Macaca fascicularis: one gene and its partners. The protein of the gene in region 2 binds, or shares a complex with, the protein of the main gene of each other region. Links are inferred from orthologs where the notes say so. Each region holds a gene or a part of one and is shown on either strand. Other genes may lie near its edges.

Evidence for each region. The genes of interacting proteins can lie anywhere in the genome.
Region 1: TAF1A (region 2) and POLR1C share a complex: the UniProt entries of both Homo sapiens proteins name them as parts of the pol I pre-initiation complex. The link is inferred for Macaca fascicularis from reciprocal best matches to the Homo sapiens genes TAF1A and POLR1C.
Region 3: TAF1A (region 2) and TAF1D share a complex: the UniProt entries of both Homo sapiens proteins name them as parts of the transcription factor SL1/TIF-IB complex. The link is inferred for Macaca fascicularis from reciprocal best matches to the Homo sapiens genes TAF1A and TAF1D.
Region 4: TAF1A (region 2) and UBTF share a complex: the UniProt entries of both Homo sapiens proteins name them as parts of the pol I pre-initiation complex. The link is inferred for Macaca fascicularis from reciprocal best matches to the Homo sapiens genes TAF1A and UBTF.

What each region holds. Positions count from the first base shown.
Region 1 is NC_088378.1:128,003,806-128,007,979, forward strand, and holds the start of POLR1C (DNA-directed RNA polymerases I and III subunit RPAC1), read right to left. Parts: upstream 2,807-4,174; 5' UTR 2,786-2,806; coding exon 2,717-2,785; intron 2,590-2,716; coding exon 2,518-2,589; intron 559-2,517; coding exon 451-558; intron 193-450; coding exon 60-192; intron 1-59. Other genes in the region: protein YIPF3, read left to right, coding at 3,091-3,171, 3,807-4,013. UniProt on the Homo sapiens protein: DNA-dependent RNA polymerase catalyzes the transcription of DNA into RNA using the four ribonucleoside triphosphates as substrates.
Region 2 is NC_088375.1:80,567,662-80,571,171, forward strand, and holds part of TAF1A (TATA box-binding protein-associated factor RNA polymerase I subunit A), read right to left. Parts: coding exon 3,461-3,510; intron 1,323-3,460; coding exon 1,124-1,322; intron 1-1,123. UniProt on the Homo sapiens protein: Component of the transcription factor SL1/TIF-IB complex, which is involved in the assembly of the PIC (pre-initiation complex) during RNA polymerase I-dependent transcription.
Region 3 is NC_088388.1:92,775,360-92,779,568, forward strand, and holds the start of TAF1D (TATA box-binding protein-associated factor RNA polymerase I subunit D), read right to left. Parts: upstream 2,807-4,209; 5' UTR 2,596-2,806; intron 1,868-2,595; exon of another isoform or gene 1,792-1,867; intron 641-1,791; 5' UTR 615-640; coding exon 547-614; intron 1-546. UniProt on the Homo sapiens protein: Component of the transcription factor SL1/TIF-IB complex, which is involved in the assembly of the PIC (preinitiation complex) during RNA polymerase I-dependent transcription.
Region 4 is NC_088390.1:65,276,756-65,280,884, reverse strand, and holds the start of UBTF (nucleolar transcription factor 1), read left to right. Parts: upstream 1-1,323; 5' UTR 1,324-1,750; intron 1,751-2,102; exon of another isoform or gene 2,103-2,217; intron 2,218-3,038; exon of another isoform or gene 3,039-3,096; intron 3,097-3,461; exon of another isoform or gene 3,462-3,792; intron 3,793-3,855; exon of another isoform or gene 3,856-3,996; intron 3,997-4,129. UniProt on the Homo sapiens protein: Recognizes the ribosomal RNA gene promoter and activates transcription mediated by RNA polymerase I (Pol I) through cooperative interactions with the transcription factor SL1/TIF-IB complex.

The DNA of each region.
Region 1 (4,174 bases), on a different chromosome or scaffold from region 2:
ACAGTCAACCAGGATTTGAACCCAGACAGTCCACTTCTCCCAAAATTTCATTTTCTTACCTTGATTCCGATACTCAAAAAGACGGGGATCAGCATGAATGGGAATGAGCCCCAGACGGTGAGCAAGGATCTCATCCTGAACAATGGATGTATTATTGTACACCAGGACCTTCTCCACAGCCATAGTTGGCACCTGCCCAAGGAAAAATAACCACTTATCTGCAAAAACCCAACAGACCCCCTACCTATCCCCACAACCCCACCCTCCAGAGGTAAGGAGCTATCTCTCTTCCTAGAATGTTTAATGAGAAATTTACAAAGAATGAGAAGGTAAAATGCTCAGCAAAATTCCAGGAAAAATGAGGGAAGGACAGCTTGAGACAATTCTCCAAGTGAGGTGTCAGTGCAGTTCCCAAAGCAACTCCAGCCTTGTCACCATGCCTGCCAATACCTCAGCTAACAGAATTCGTCGAAAAGCATTGGCAATGGCTGCGTCAATTCCCACCATGTCGAACTCCAGTGAGTTTTCATCCATGTGTACTACATCCACACGGAAATTCTAGAGGGACAGGAAAAACATTTAAGTGAAACCTGCTCTCTCTGTAATATCTCTTCATACCTCCCCCTTAGATAATTCCCTCAAGTATTATCCTCTCATCCAAAAACCTCCCTTTGCCCAGATGTCCCTTATTAAATATTCTTTCTCGCCCAGTGCTTTAGTTTCATAAAAAGTCTCCATTTTTGTCGTCCATTCATTAAAACCCTATGCAATATGGCTTCCAACCAAACCATCCACAGAAGCTATTCCACTAAAGAACAGAAACTACCATAGTGCTTAGTCCTGTTGACACTACCCAGTCCTCTTACTAGACTTCTGTTATGCTTGACATTGATTAAAAAACCTCCTCTGGGCCCAGCACGGTGACTCACACCTGTAATCCCAGCACTATGGGAGGCCGAGGGGCGGATCACAAGGTCAGGAGTTTGAGACCAGCCTGGCCAGCATGGTGAAACCCCGTCTCTACTAAAAATTCAAAAAATTAGCTGGGCATGGTGGCGCGTAGCTGTAGTCCCAGCTACTCGGGAGGCTGAGGCAGGAGAACTGCCTGAACCCAGGAGGCGGAGGTTGCAGTGAGCCAAGATTGCACCACTGCACTCCAGCCTGGGAGATAAGAGTGTCTCATGAAAAGGAAAAAAAAAAAAAAAATCCCCTTTTTTGAACGATTCCCCTGGTTTCTGAGCTCCACTCTTCTTCCATCTCTGATGATCAACTTCCACCCATCTCTAAATTTGCCAGGTTCTTGTCTCTCTCCCAGGTCACCTTAACTGTACTAACAGTTTTAGCAACTATCTGTTCTGACAACTCCCAAAATTTTATCTCACTTCTGATCTCATTTCAAGCATGCAGTCTTCTAGCCTGCTAGATTTCCCCACATACAGAAAACAATGCATCATCATCCCTGTTCCCCAGACCCATTTCTCCTCTTAGTAAATGATACCACAAAGCAAAAAGCAGTTCCCAAGCCAGAAAAAGTCATTTTATGCTACCCCCACAGCCTTTATCCAAGCAATCATAAATTTACCTTATATTCTTCCTTTGCTCTATTTCTACCATCAGTCTTAGTTCATATCTTCAACCTCAGCTTCCCTTACGACAGATCTGCCTGCTCCATATGATCCTCCTCAAACTCATTCCCTCCCAGCCATCAAGGTTGCAAATCTGATCATGTCTGCTTAAGAAACTATTCAAGCTCCCTATCATCCACAGTGTGACACACTTCAATCTTGCCGACCACTCATGCCAGAACTACTTGGACATTCCCGGAGCACATGTCACAGAAGTCATAATTTTTTTTCAAGCATTAGCCTTTTTCATTGTTCATACTTTATTCCTTGTATCAACAGGTTAAAAAAGTAAAATTTTCCCAGGCACTGATTTACACATCATGTTTATAAGCTGCATAAAGGGTAACATTTAGGTCAGTTGCATAAAGGGTAACATTCAGTAATCTATTTAAATGCAATTTTAACCCTTATTTTAAGCTAAGTGAAACAATAATACAAAAGACTAAATACACACAAAACCTGCATATCCTGAACTTCACTGACGTGAAACTCAAATCTTTCATAATTCAACTCCTGTTTTTTTTTTTACTTACCATTCAAGGTTCAATTCAGGTGTCCCCTCCTCTTGAAATGTTAAGTACCTCTCGGCCCCTCTTCCTGGTCTCAGCGGAATGCTCCCCACCCCAACCCTGCCGTCTTCATCGCTATCAACCACCTTCACCATATTACACTAGATGCACTTGTTTATACGCACCATTCCTCAACAAGACGGAATATCTCTGCAGAGATAGAAACCGTGTCTAATTTGGCCTGTAAACGGAGCGTCTAGCACATTGCTCAACAAACACAAACGGAGCGACCCCCAAAAGCAGCTGCTGAGACAGACACAGGCTGCTCAGGCCACAGGGTCTGGCCTTCATAACCCTCCCCAGACAACTTCGGCCCCACTTACCTTCTCGAAGCGGTCCTGGTCCCAGGCATCATCATAACCGGAATAGTTTCCGGGAAAGTCAGTGGTATGGACCTAGAGCAAAGGGACGAGTTTGTCCACAAAGGGACAATGAGCCCACGGCTATCCCCACGCCAATCCCAAGACCCACCCCTGTTCCGCTCTCATTCCTCCCGCCCGAGCTCAAGGCCACAAGGCTTACATTGCGAACCCCAAACTCCCCTAGAACCACGCGGCCCCGCATCTCCTCCACCGCCTGAGAAGCCGCCATCTTCAATCTCTCCACGAGACTGGAGGCTCTATCTGGCGCGTGCGTCCTAGTAGACTGGCTCCGTCTCCGTGGCAACGCGCCACCGCCTGGAATCTTAAATATCGCGAGACTTTTCCCCGCTTCCGTCCACGTCCCCAGCCTCCGGAAGTTGGTTTTGTCCAAACATCCGGGCTTCTCTTTTTTGTGTTCCGGCCGATCCCACCTCTCCTCGACCCGGGACGTCTCCCTCACTAAGGCCCACGTCTCGCCCACTCCTCCGCGCGCGGGGCTAGCGCGGGCTTCAGCGACGGGAGCCTTCAAGGGACATGGCAACTACAGCGGCGCCGGCGGGCGGCGCCCGAAATGGAGCTGGCCCGGAATGGGGAGGGTTCGAAGAAAACATCCAGGTAATGGCCCCAAGGCACTAGCTGCCAGCAACCCGAGGGCCAGCGATGTCCAGAAGTGTCTTGAGGATTCTCCCTGTGGGCCTGGAAGTCCGCTCCATTTGCAAAACTCTCTTCTTTGGGTCTTCGTGCACACTAAAGTCAGTAGGATTAACATTGACCTGAAAGGGCCAGACTAGTACTCCAGCCTGAGGGTCTCGGGTCTCTGGGCCCGCTCGAGGCATTAGGAAGAAGGTATTCTTGGAACAAGTTAGGAAGTTGGTCGGGGTCAGGCATGGAGTGGGGTTGGGTGGGGATTCACTGGCATTCGCTGAAAACATATTATGTGTATAGTTTTGTTTGGGGCTTAGGAAAGAAGGAAATGGGCACTTTTTCAGCCTTTTAGTCTTTGGTAGGTAAGGTAGGAAAAAGACAGGAATGGAAGACTAGTAGTATGTTTCCCAGGCTAGAAAATTCAGCCAAAGCTAGAAACCAAGAGTTCTGAGAGCATATGAGGGGGAATGGAGTGGCATGATCTGTAGTGATTCCGAGCCGTATCCTCAGCAGTGGAAGAACAAAGCCCTAAACCCTGGGATGAGCAGAGGACTTAATGGATGGAACAGAAAAGTCCTGCACTCTAGGAGCCATTGTCTTCACAGGGCGGAGGCTCAGCTGTGATTGACATGGAGAACATGGATGATACCTCAGGCTCTAGCTTCGAGGATATGGGTGAGCTGCATCAGCGCCTGCGCGAGGAAGAAGTAGACGCTGATGCAGCTGATGCAGCTGCTGCTGAAGAAGAGGATGGAGAGTTCCTGGGCATGAAAGGCTTTAAGGGACAGCTGAGCCGGCAGGTGGCAGATCAGGTAAGCATGATTGAATCTTCTGCAGGTGGAAAGGTATACCTAGGTATGTCCCATGTTCTGGAGTTGGTGTTGGTGATGTTTGCCCCAGGTTGTCCAGTTAGAACCATGTAGAAATCAAGCGGAAAATAGGCAACAGGGTCTAGAACCAACAGTCCCACAAT
Region 2 (3,510 bases):
AAAGGGAGTCGAAGTTAGTGAAACTACCTGCCCAGAGACCAAGGAGATACCACTTATCACATAAGGAAATACTGCTTACTTAGTCCTAGTATTTAGGACTAAGCAGTCTTACTTACTTAGGACTAAGATATGGAGGAGAATGAAAACAGAAGGGGTTAATCCTAGAGAGACTATGGAGAAACTATACAAGGAAGCAATTTGCAAAGAATCACACAGCTCCAATGAATGCAAATCTGGGCATAAATGAAGATGATAACAGCACTGAAGGTTAAGAGAAGGGAAATCAGTTTGAGAACTGAATGGTCAACTTCTGGTATAGTCAATAAATCAAGAAATTGTCCATTATAACCTTTATACAAAACTGAAATGACCATTTTGACGTATTCTTTAAACATATTATTCTGAGAAATAACATAATAATATTACAAAATAAATTAAACTCCATTCTAGGCACACAGGAAGAAATGTTTATTATATGTAATAATGACTGCTAAAGAAAACCTATAGCCTTTCTTAGAAATTGGCAAAGACTTTCTTCTTGACCAAACTCCAGCCAGGCTCCTCTAAGCTCTCTTCTGAACTAGGCCTCAAACTTGGCCAATAAAAACTTGAACAGACAGTAACATAGTTTCTAACAGCTCAAGGCCATATCCCCAGGATTACCCCAGCCAGCCCCTCTTGAAATGCATGCCTGGGAAAACTCCAGAAAAATTTACTGGTGGTTCTGCCTTCTGCTTTTTAGCCTCCCCACCCCCACCCCTTACAACCCCAAGTCACCTCCACAGAAACTGGAATGGAGCTTAGCTCTTCCTCCTGTCAGTAGTTACTGAATCAAACCTGTCTTCACTGCTCTAATGTCTGGCTGTGTTTATCCTTGTCTAAACCACATTCAAAACAGCAACGAACCTAAAATAATCATGAACTTAATTATGAACCATCTAATTTGTGACTGAAGCCTTTTATATATCAGAAGTATTATAAAGGATCAAGAATTTTAAATCCATAAAAAGTCTGTTCACCGTAATATCTGGATGAAGTCAATAGGGAAATTACTAGATTACTCCTTAAGATCCCTCTGCCCCTCAGTCTCATCACAAGAAAAAGTTTACCTGTATTTACTTACCAAGCTTTGACAATTCCATCTTCTTTTTAGACCAGGTGTAATACTGTAAAAGCCCTTTATAGGCCTGAATAAGGTTGATTAATATTCCCCGGGAAGATGTGTTTTCACCATGTCTCCATGTCTCTGCCTCACTCAGATTTCTCTTAGCATCTTTAAGCATTCCATGATGCAGAAGGTATAATGCATGTTGTAAGGAGATCTGCAAAAATAATAAGGGCACACTGCCATTTAAGCCATTTGATAACCATTAGTCAAAAAGCTCAGTAAATATATAATACATGCTGGGCTAAGACCTTGGTAGAATACAAATAACCTGACATTGAAAATTTTGATGTTGGGGACAATCTGGCAAAGAAGTAAGACATAGGAAACAATTAACACTATGCAAATATGAGCTAAATTATGTAAACTTACAAACAAAAGACAGTGTGATATACTGAGGAAAAAAGAGGCTTTGAAGATGGAGTGTCTTGGTTAATACACCACTTAAAAACTAAATAAACCTGGGTAAATTATTCACCCTTCGTGAGTCTCATTTGTTTTACGGGAACATTATTGCCCCTTCAGAAGGGTGTTTTCAAGATTAAATGAGATAATACTTGCAAACCACCTAATAGTTTGGCTCATAGCAGACATTCAATAAATATTACTATTTTATACATGCTATATAAGCTTAGAGAAAATATGTTAATAAGGAATGTTGAAGAATGACTTCAGCTCAGATGGGAAGGAAAGTGTATCCCTGATACAGGAGAAGCAGGAAGAATAATTATACAAAGAATGAGTATTACAAGAAGGGAAGACATTAAAGAGGAGAATAATTAGAACTACAATTAATCATATGGGTAGAGCCAAAGTACTGCAATAATTTGTCAACTGGCCTCTCCATTCCTGCCTCCCTACAATTCATCTTTCAAGTGGCTACCAAAGAAATCTCATCTTGTTAGTTATTTGCATAAACTCCTTCAATGGCTCCCACTGACTACAGAATTAAAATCCAAGTTCCTAGGGTGCAGCACACAGCGCCCAGCCTACTTCCTCCGACTTCTACCCAAATGATTTTTAGAGTAACTAAACTATTGGATGTAGGGCTTCTGAACTCTTTATAACCCCTGCCACACAGGGCTGCTTTCCCCTAATCTGCCTAGTGAACAACCAACAGCTTTTTCAAACTTATCTCAAGTATCACTTTCATTCTTTTCCTGATTCCCCTACCCATTAAATCCTAACCCTCTCTAGTTCCAGAGAACTGGCCATTTTCTCCTTTATCTTCTCACTATATGTTACATTTCTACTATGGTAGCCATAACACTTAATGCCATTTACATGATCTTCCTCTACTATTGAGAACCATGTCTAGAACAATACCTGGTAAGCGGCAATAAGTGTTTTTAAAATTATTAACAACAAAAAAAGTTTTCTTATCTATCCTAATTATCACTCTCAGACTCTTATTGAGAAATGAGGTTCCCTTTCAGTTTCTTTACTTCAACTGAGGAGATTCTAGGAGCCAAAAGGGACCTAACCAACAGTTTAAACTTCACACTCTCCCCACAATCAAATGGCTATCCAGTTTAGACCTGAAAAAACAGATGCACAGCACACATCAGGGTAGGCCATTCCCATTTCCAATTGTTTAGTTAGAAAGCTTTTCTTAAGTAGAACTGTAAACTGCCTCCATTTAATTTCCACTCACAGTATATCTGGTCTACCAGAGAACAAAACCATAAGAGCACCTGGCACATAAAGTAGACACTCAAAACATTTTTTTAAAGCAAAGCATTTACAAACTTGTATTGAAAAAGTGCCCTTTGAGACAAAAACAGAGAGAGGGAGATACAGTATTTTGAAAATATCTCAATCTTTTTCAGTAAGACTTTTACAAAAGAATATATGAATTTGGAGGTCAAGATTCCACCTAAACATTAGGAGTACTAAAATATTTTCACGTATTTAAATTCCCAACTTGTTTAGCTCTTTCCTTTTTCTAAACACCAACTCTAAGCTCAAATGACTTCAGCAAACATTTCAGAATTTGACCCATCATCATACCACTGCAATCTCTGAATAACTGATTTTGGCAGCCAGAAGAAATACACAAAAAAAGGAATTTTCAGTCAGAGAACACGGGAGGTGACTGAAAATCAAGAAGTAAATGGTTCTCATAATACTCTTTTCTTTCAGTTTCTCTTATTTATCCAGATGCCTTATCCTTGTCCCACATTTTTTAGGTTAACTACCTTATCACTGACACAAGCAATTAAAAAAAAAAAAAAAGAAAGAAAGAAAGAAAAAAAGAATACCGCAAGGGTAAATTCACAAAGCCCATATTCTCACCTTTAAATAATTCATGACGCCAATATTTTTCATCCGGTCAGCAAAAGTAC
Region 3 (4,209 bases), on a different chromosome or scaffold from region 2:
GTACAGTGGTGCAATCACAGCTCACTGCAACCTCAAACTCCTGGAACTCCAGGGATGCTCCTGACTCAGCCTCCCAAGTAGCTAGCTAGGACTAATGGCATGCACCACTGTGCTCAGCTTAGCAAAAAACTATGTATCTTTTAAGATAACGTATGGCTCCACAAAGGCTGTATGGTGTATGAGCTCCACAAAGGCTGTATGGTTTGGTTCACTGCTAAGAGTGAGTAAAACAAACACAGCCTACCAGACAGAAACAGGAAGAGGTAGTCTGGAAGAGATGCTAATATGACCCAAAGAATACATTTTTTTCTTGAAGAATGTGTCCCATTATAATATATTCACATTTTGAATTTAAAGTATTTGCAATGCTATTATCAATCTACATTAACTAGATAAACCTGGAAGGTCAGTGAAATCTGGTTTTCCTTCTTTCCCAATTCCTGAAAATCATCTTTACTGTCACTCATTATATAAAATAATTTCTCATAATTCAGATACAATAAATATGATTGAATCCACTCAGTTCTCCAGTAAAAACCCACTTACCTTTGATTTGCAAGTTCCATAGCATCAGATGTCACATGGTCGGTAGAATCTATTCCTGATTTATCCATCAATTGCTTTGTTTTATAACAGTTTTCTGAAATTATGAAATTTAGTAAATGTGACAAAGCTTCCCTAAATATTGACACAGTATCTACTATAATATTCAACATGGTCAGACTATGCCACTGATTTTAGGCAAAATCATTTGCCGGGGTTAACCTTCTTATCCATTTCAGATCAATTTCTTTAAAAAGAAATCCAGAAATTCTATTCACAGGTTCTTTCAGTTTTTACCCTCTAAATGTATTCAATGGAACAAGATTCCAAAAAAGTACTGTCACTTCCAAAAAAAGCATCTTTCAATATAAGTAGAAAATACAGTTTTATCATTAGCCACTTACTAACGTGCAATTACCAATACAGTATTAATGTAAAATTAAAAACCATTTTCCAAGATCAAAGAGGGAATTCCTAAGGCAAAATGTGCCCTATATAAACCAGGAAAAGGATCTCCAATCAACAGACCCTGATCACCTCTCCATTATAATTCCTAGATTCTTCATTCCTAGATTCATTTAAGTAACTGAACTTTGTCATACTGTATCTTTGCCATTATTGGTGGAAACTGACAAGTTCTGAATTCTCAACCTTTTTCAATAAACTATCATAATTCTTTGTGTTTTCATCCCCATGGTAGAGTATACAACATGCCAAAAAAAGAAGAAAAAAAAGATTCCTTCTTGTGAGCTAAAAGAAAAAACAGGTTGGTCTGGGTGGCTCAGGCCTGTGTAACACAGCACTTTGGGAGGTCGAGGCGGGCGGATCGCTCGAGCCCAGGAGCTCAAGACCAACCTGGGCAACGTGGTGAAACTCCGTCTCTACAAAAAATACAAAAATTAGCCGGGCTAGTGGCGCGCGCCTGTGGTCAGGAGGCTGAGGTAGGTGAATACCTGAGCCTGGGAGGTGGAAGTTGTATGTAGTGAGCCTCAGCACACAAGGAGACCCTTGTCTCTACAAAAAATTCTTAAGATACTGGCTAGGTGTGGTGACCCGTGCCTGTGCTCCCAGCCACTCGGGAGGATCGCTTGAGCAGAGGTGGAGGTTGCAGTGAGCCGAGATTGCACCACTGCACCCCAGCCTGGACGACAGAACAAGACCCTGTCTCAGAAAAAAAAAAAAAAAAAAAAAAAAATAGGCATGGCAACAAAAATGAAGGATAACTACTTATTTCACTATTGTACTTGCCTTAGTCAATCTCTTGTCTCATTCTGTAGCTTCTTGGGACCTAACATGAGTCATTGCATATAAATCCTAGGATGAACTAGCAAAACATTTAAAATATAAAACGATAAGGTTACCAAGAGCTCAGATTTGTTAAATGCCCAATGGACCCCTGTGGTAATTTTCTGGTAGTACGTCTTATTAGCTTAAGTACAGGATTCTACGAAGTCATTATATATCGAATGCTCAAAAACGGAATTCAACAAAAATTTGGCCCCATGCATTAATGGTATACCTGTGGTTAATTTTTTTTTAAAGTAGGGATTATCAAAATAAAGCTAGCTCAAGAATCACTTTTTTCTTAGTGTTTAGAAGACACTCCTACTTGGGTGTCGATGCATCCGCTGGAATTCTGCAATTCTTAGAGGCCACGTGGGCAGAAAGCGGCGCTTTACCCGGAGCTAATTCTGTGACCACCAGCGCGTCTCTCCGGGCAGCGCCTAACCTCCAGGAAACCGGCGCTATCAATGGGTACCTCACATATGAAGGTTAAATCATTTAAATTACGTTAAGAAGGTTAAACTTGTCTGCAACACGTTTTAACACCTCCATCTCAAGATATAATGAAGCCCGCCCACACTACAACCACGTTTGTGGGCCTCATACCAGCCGCGTGGCGCGGAGTGGCCTGCAACCGTGATCCCTTCACCCTCTCGGCCCGACTTCCGAGGCTCAATCCTCCGGAACAACGCAGGGGCCGAAACCCCAGATATGCAATGCCTCCCCTGCCCAACAAGCCCAGACGGCCTTGCCCTCTTGGCAACCTACCTAAAACCGCCTCACACCGGCCCCAACCGCGCACTTGCTGCCCGTAACCCAGGCCTCGGGCCAAAACCTGCGACTGGCCTGGTGCGTGAGTCCTGGAGATTTGCACACACCACCCTCCCGATTTCAGTCCTCCAACTCCGGAAAACTAGCCGATGTCCTCCAACCGCGCGGAAGAAAAGGGTGGGATATCCCCGCGGCCCAAGTAATAGTCAGGCAGAAATCTCGCGATACAATTTAGCTCCCGGGAAGAAGGCGAGCGGTGGGAGGAGTCGCGACGCGGGGGCGCCATTTTTCTCGCCGCGCAGGGAGGAGCGACTAACGTGGGCGGAGCTGTAGCTCGCTTACTCTGAGGAGGCGGGGTTGGCGTAGGCGGAGATCGGGATTCTGGTGTTTTGCTTGCGTGACCGATTCGGTAAGTGGAATAGCCAAGAACATTTCGGCAAATAACAAAAAGAAAATGTGCGGCCAATTGTGAGTGGATGAGAACTGCGAGGAAACAGCCTCTCAGCCCGGGTCGTTTCCGGTGGTCTCGCGTTTGCTGAGCTGTCTCCCGGCTTTCTAAACCTGGTCCCGAGTATGTGGTGAGGGTGACGGGTGGGATGTGTGAATGAGTGTTTTGTCATCCTGTGTCTACTTTTGCCTTCAAAACCCTTGTGTGTGAAAATATTCGGGAAGGTTACTCGAAGTTTGTAACCTTTGTGCTGGACGCCAGTGTTATGCCGTAGCACGCCCAGGTCTCCTCCCCACCTTTGCACCTGTTTCGGGAGCTCACCCTTTCTGCCTCCCAGGAATTGGCTAACACGTCACAAGTGAGACCTGTGGAGGATTTCTTTTTCCTCAGTTTCCTCCTACATCCCCCCCGCCCCCCACCATTAGTTCCTTGACCAGTTCCTGAGTTAAGATTAAGCTGTGTAAACTAGTTTAGTTTTGGTGGGGTTTTTTTCTTCGAAAGTTTTTTGTTTTTTTTTTTTGTTTTTCGGTTTTTTGGGGTTTTTTTGAGACCGAGTTTCGCTCTTGTTGCCCAGGCTGGAGTGCAATGGCGCGATCTTGGCTCACCGCAAGCTCCGCTTCCCGGGTTCAAGCGATTCTCCTGCCTCAGCCTCCCAAGTAGCTGAGATTACAGGCATGTGCCACCATGCCCTGCTAATTTTTTTGTACTTTTAGGAGACACGGGGTTTCTCCATGTTGGTCAGGCTGGTCTCGAACTCCTGACCTCAGGTGATCCACCCGCCTCGGCCTCCCAAAGTGCTGGGATTACAGGCGTGAGCCACCGGCCTCCCAAAGAAATTTTTAAAAGGATTGAACTGGTTTGATTTTTCTGGTTTCAAACTTCTGTTTTCATATGATACACCGCAAAAACCAGTAAAGCTGTCTAATCTTATTTTATAGTTTACATCATTTTAGGATAGCGCGTGCCTTAAAAGTAATCTGGTCTCTTTACCCTCCTTTGCTCCATAGATTGGACAATTTCGGGGATAAAAAGTCTGACACTGCATTTGATCCACAGGGGCTGGGCAGTGACTAAGCTCCAGGACTGGTATGGCATGTCCCTCACTGCCATATTCAGCAGCAAGCCTAGCTCTGTAATTTGTGAGGCTCAATGCAAAATGTAAA
Region 4 (4,129 bases), on a different chromosome or scaffold from region 2:
CTTGGGCAGGTCCTCAAAGTTAGGGGCCTAGAAGCTGAAATTAATCTACGAGTGGTAAATCCGCCTCTCCTATATGCCAGTGCCCCCAAAAACAAACAAACAAACAAACAAAAACAGGACACACCAGATCTTGACAGGGCTTCCTCCCTGTTTGTGAAACGTGACAGAAGTGGGATCTGGAAGTCCTGGGAAAACAATCTCATTTCTCCCAGGAGACAAGAGGAATTACAGCAGCAAAGAGGCAGGCCGAGTGGAGGAGAAGGCTGCATGCCAGGGGAGAGTCGAAAGGGGCTGGGTGATCCAGCTGGCCGAGATGCGGGAAGTAGAGCCTCGGTGTGGGAGACTGGCAGCCTGAGAGCCAGGAGCAATGGCGCTGCCCCAGAAGCGGTGGCTGGAGGCTGGGCCTGCTGGAAGCAGGCTTCCTTCAGATGGTCTTCTGGCTCCCTGCGTCCTGTCCTGATAACCTTTCCTCTGAAAAGGGGAGGCAAAGACAGACAACCACAGCCATGGTAGTGGGAGGGTGGGTGGTGGACCCCGTCCAGGCCTTTCATCCCCGGCCTGCAGTTTAGTGAACCGGGAGACGTCTCGTCGGAGGCTGCTCCGCTGCCGCCCGGAGCAGCGAGAACCGGGTGCTGGGCTCCCCTCGCGGCTGCCCGCCGCCGCCGGGGGGCAGCGCCTGCGGCCTGCTTTCCCAGGGCCGGCCGAGGCTTTTTGACAAGCTGATTGCGTGGCGGGGATTGGCTGGTCCGGGCGTGACGCCGGTAACAACAAAGGTGGAGTTGGAAGAAATTAGATTAAAGGAGAGAAAAAAAATTAAAGGGGGAGCTGGCAAAAGACAGGAGGTATAGACCGAGGGGGAGATGCGCCAAGTGGTGTCTCCCGGTTCCGACTCCCCCCGCCGCCTCGACCCCAGAAGATCCCTCGCGCAAACCCACTGGGATTTTGCTCTTTCCCCTACCCCCGCCCAGTGACCGACGCCGGGGTAGGAAGGATAGCCGCTTCTTCTTGAAAAATCCCCGCAACTCCCACCCTGACACCCCTCACTACGACCCAGGGGGAGAACTTTTTGCTCGGACTCCTCGGATCCTAAACCCAGCGAAGAGGGGGACATTGATAAGCTCGTCCTTTTAAAACCCGGAAGGCCCTCGCGGAGCATGGAGATCGGATAAGGCGGGGTGCTCCCTCGGTTTTCCGATGTGTTGCAAATCTAAGAGCTTCTTTCTCGCTTTTTTTTTTTTTCCCCTGTAACTACCCCCCCTCCCTTTTGCTTCAGGGTTGCAAAAGCAAAGAGCAATAAAAAAAAAAAAAACCGCGCACACACTCAGACACACACCAGTGGCGACAGGGGAGAGTTGGAAAGACGCAGGAGAGAAGCAGGAGGCAGGAGGCAGCGGGGATGGAGCAATGGGAGCGGGAAGCAGGCAGGTTTCCTTGCAAATCCCCCTCCGGCCTCACGCCGCCTCGCCAGCCCCGGCAGGGGAGCGAGGACCCCGGCGAACAGATGGAGGAGTGGAGCTCGCTCTAGGCAGCTGGGCTTGGCCGGAGAATGGAGGAGCCACCAAGCGACCGGCTGATTGGAAGAGAAACGCAGAGCGATGGAGGCGGGGGTAGGAGGACGATTTCTCTGCGGGGACTGGCGGCGGCGTACACGCCCGGGTCGGGCGCTGCAGAGCTTGGCTGGCTTTCAACCCGCGCTCGCCGGCTCCAGCCCCGCGCGCCCCCACCCCTAGCCCTCCCGGCGGCTCCGCAGGTGAGTGCGAGCTGCGGGCAGAAAGATCCAAAAGTCTCAACACGCCCGCCCTGCAAAAAAGGAAAAAAGAAAAAAAAGGAAGAAAACCATTTTACTTAAAAAAAAATTTTTTTTTTGTGCAACCCCTAAAGCAGTGGGAGGGAAGGGGTGAGGCTGAGCCGCCCGGAGGAGGCGGAGGGGCCAGGCGAGGCCGGGGTGGCCCGGGAGGCGGCGGCGCCGAGGCGGCTCTGACGGGCAAGCGCTCGGAGCGGCGCTGCGCTGCGCCGAGGCGGGCGGGCGGGCGGGCGGAGCGGGGCGGGCGGAGCGCGGCGCGTGGGGCTCGCCATTAGCCGTCGCTCCGCTTCGCCATCTCGGGCTTTGTCTGGCGACTCGCTGCCCCGGCGTCGGCTGCAGCGGAGCTGCGGCTCGGCTGTTCCGCCCGCCGTGCTCCCAGGTGCCCCCGGCCTGCGCTCCCATCCACACGCTCGGTAAGTGAGCCCGGGCGCCGCGGATTTCGGGGGAGAGGGGTTGCTACGAGTGGCGGCGGCACCGATCTCCATGCGCCCGGGCAGGCCTGGGAGCCATGCCGGGCTGGATTGAACCGGCTCCCACAGCGGCCCCTCCGCCGGAGCCCGTCGTTCCCTCGCCGTTTCCGGGGTGTAAAGAGCAACGGGGATTTTTTTTTAATGCAGAGATTTTCGGTTTTGGGTTTTTTTAAAGTTTCCTATGTACCGTTCGGCAATGAGAGGATCGCGAGGTAGGCGCCGAAGCTGGACGCCGCGATCGGCGTGCGTGCGCCCCAAACCAGTGGCCACGCTCCGGGGGATGAGGGTGGGCGCGGACCGCTCGCTCCGGGAGGCGGGAGAGAGCTGGCCTGGAAGCCCCAGTCTGAGCTGGGAGGACTTGGGGGAGAGCTCCGGAGCAGGGCTGTGGGCGCCCCCCAAGCCTTCCTGGCCGCCGGGGGCCCCTCCGGGCACCCTCTCCGCGGCCGCGCCTCGGCCCTCCCTCCCGCGCCGGCAAAGCCTGCTAGTTCCCCCGCGGGTCTGGCGAGGTCGCTCTCGGCGCCCGCCCGCCCGCCCGCCCCGGCTCCGAGCCCCGCCGCCATCCGGGCGGCTGCGTGTCTCCCTGCCCCGGCCCCCCCCTTCCCCGGCGGCGGCGGCGGCGGCGGCAGCAGCAGCAGCAGCAGCCGCCGCCGCCACCAGCACCACCACCACCCCCCTCCCCTCCTTCCTTCCCTCCGCCTCGGCCGCCCGGGTCCCCCCAGCTCCCGCCCCTCCTCCCAGCTGCCCCCCGCGGAGCCCGCCCGGGCAGGCTGTGGGAGGGAGCGGAGCCGGCGAGGCGGGCGGGCTGGCGCTCGCTCCCCGGGGGTCGGTGTGCGCTCTACGGGGAAGGACGCGCTCGCTGCCCCGCTTCTCCCGCCCCCCCTCCCGCTCCTCCTCCTCCCTTCTCCCTCCTCCTCCCCGCTCCGGCGGCTGAGGCTGCGGCGGCGGCGGGGGGTGTGCGAGCTGAGGCCGGGGCCGGCGGCGGGCGGGCTGCCTGCAGGCGGAGGGCGCTGTGCTTTGTGCTTTTCGCCGCGAGGAGCAGCAGGCAGCAGCCACAGCCGCCGCCGCCGCCGCCACAGCAGCAGCAGCCGCCGCCCCAGCGCCGCCGCCTCGCCCGGAGGAGGAGCCGCTGCCGCCGCGGGAGGGAGCTGCGGCTGTGCCCGGCCGAGCGGGGGAGGGCGCCGCCACTCAGAGCCGGGGAGGGAGCCGCCGGAGCGGGAAGCCCGGAGGCCGCGCTGCGCCGGGTAACCGAGGCGGCTGAGGACGCGCGCTGGGTTCGGGGCCGGACAGCAGGGAGCGAACCGCGGGTTGCGGTGGGCGCCCAGCAGGGACCCGGAGCGACCACCGAGCAGGGGACCGGGCGCGAGCAGACCAGGGCACTTGGGAGGACGCCGAGAGCCGGGGGAGGGGAAGGCAGGAAGCGAGGCCTGAGCCGAGCCACGGCCGCTGGCGGAGGAGCCCGCGCTTCTCGGATCCGGCAGGCGCAGTTCTCCCCGGCCGCCGGAGGGGGCGGCGGGGCCGGTGAGCGCTGCGCCCCCGCCTCCCGGCCGCCGTCCTCCCGCCCTCTCCTTGGCTCGGCTCCCCGGAGGCCGGGGCGGGGGCGCCGGCGGGGCTGGGCCGCAGGCTCGGGGGAGGAGGCGGCGGTTCCCGCCGCGGTCGCGCCTCTGTGCCGGGCTCCTCCGTGCGCGTCGGGGTGGCTGGGTGGTGGCGGCGCCTCTGGCCGGGGTGGGTGGCTCGGGGGCGGGGGGCAGGCTAGGCCGCTTCTCTCCGGCTGCTCGCCCGCCTGTGCGGGCGGGGACGGCGAAGGGAGCCCGGGAGGGGGGAGCGGCGGGAATCCGGATCCGGTCCCCGGGGGCGG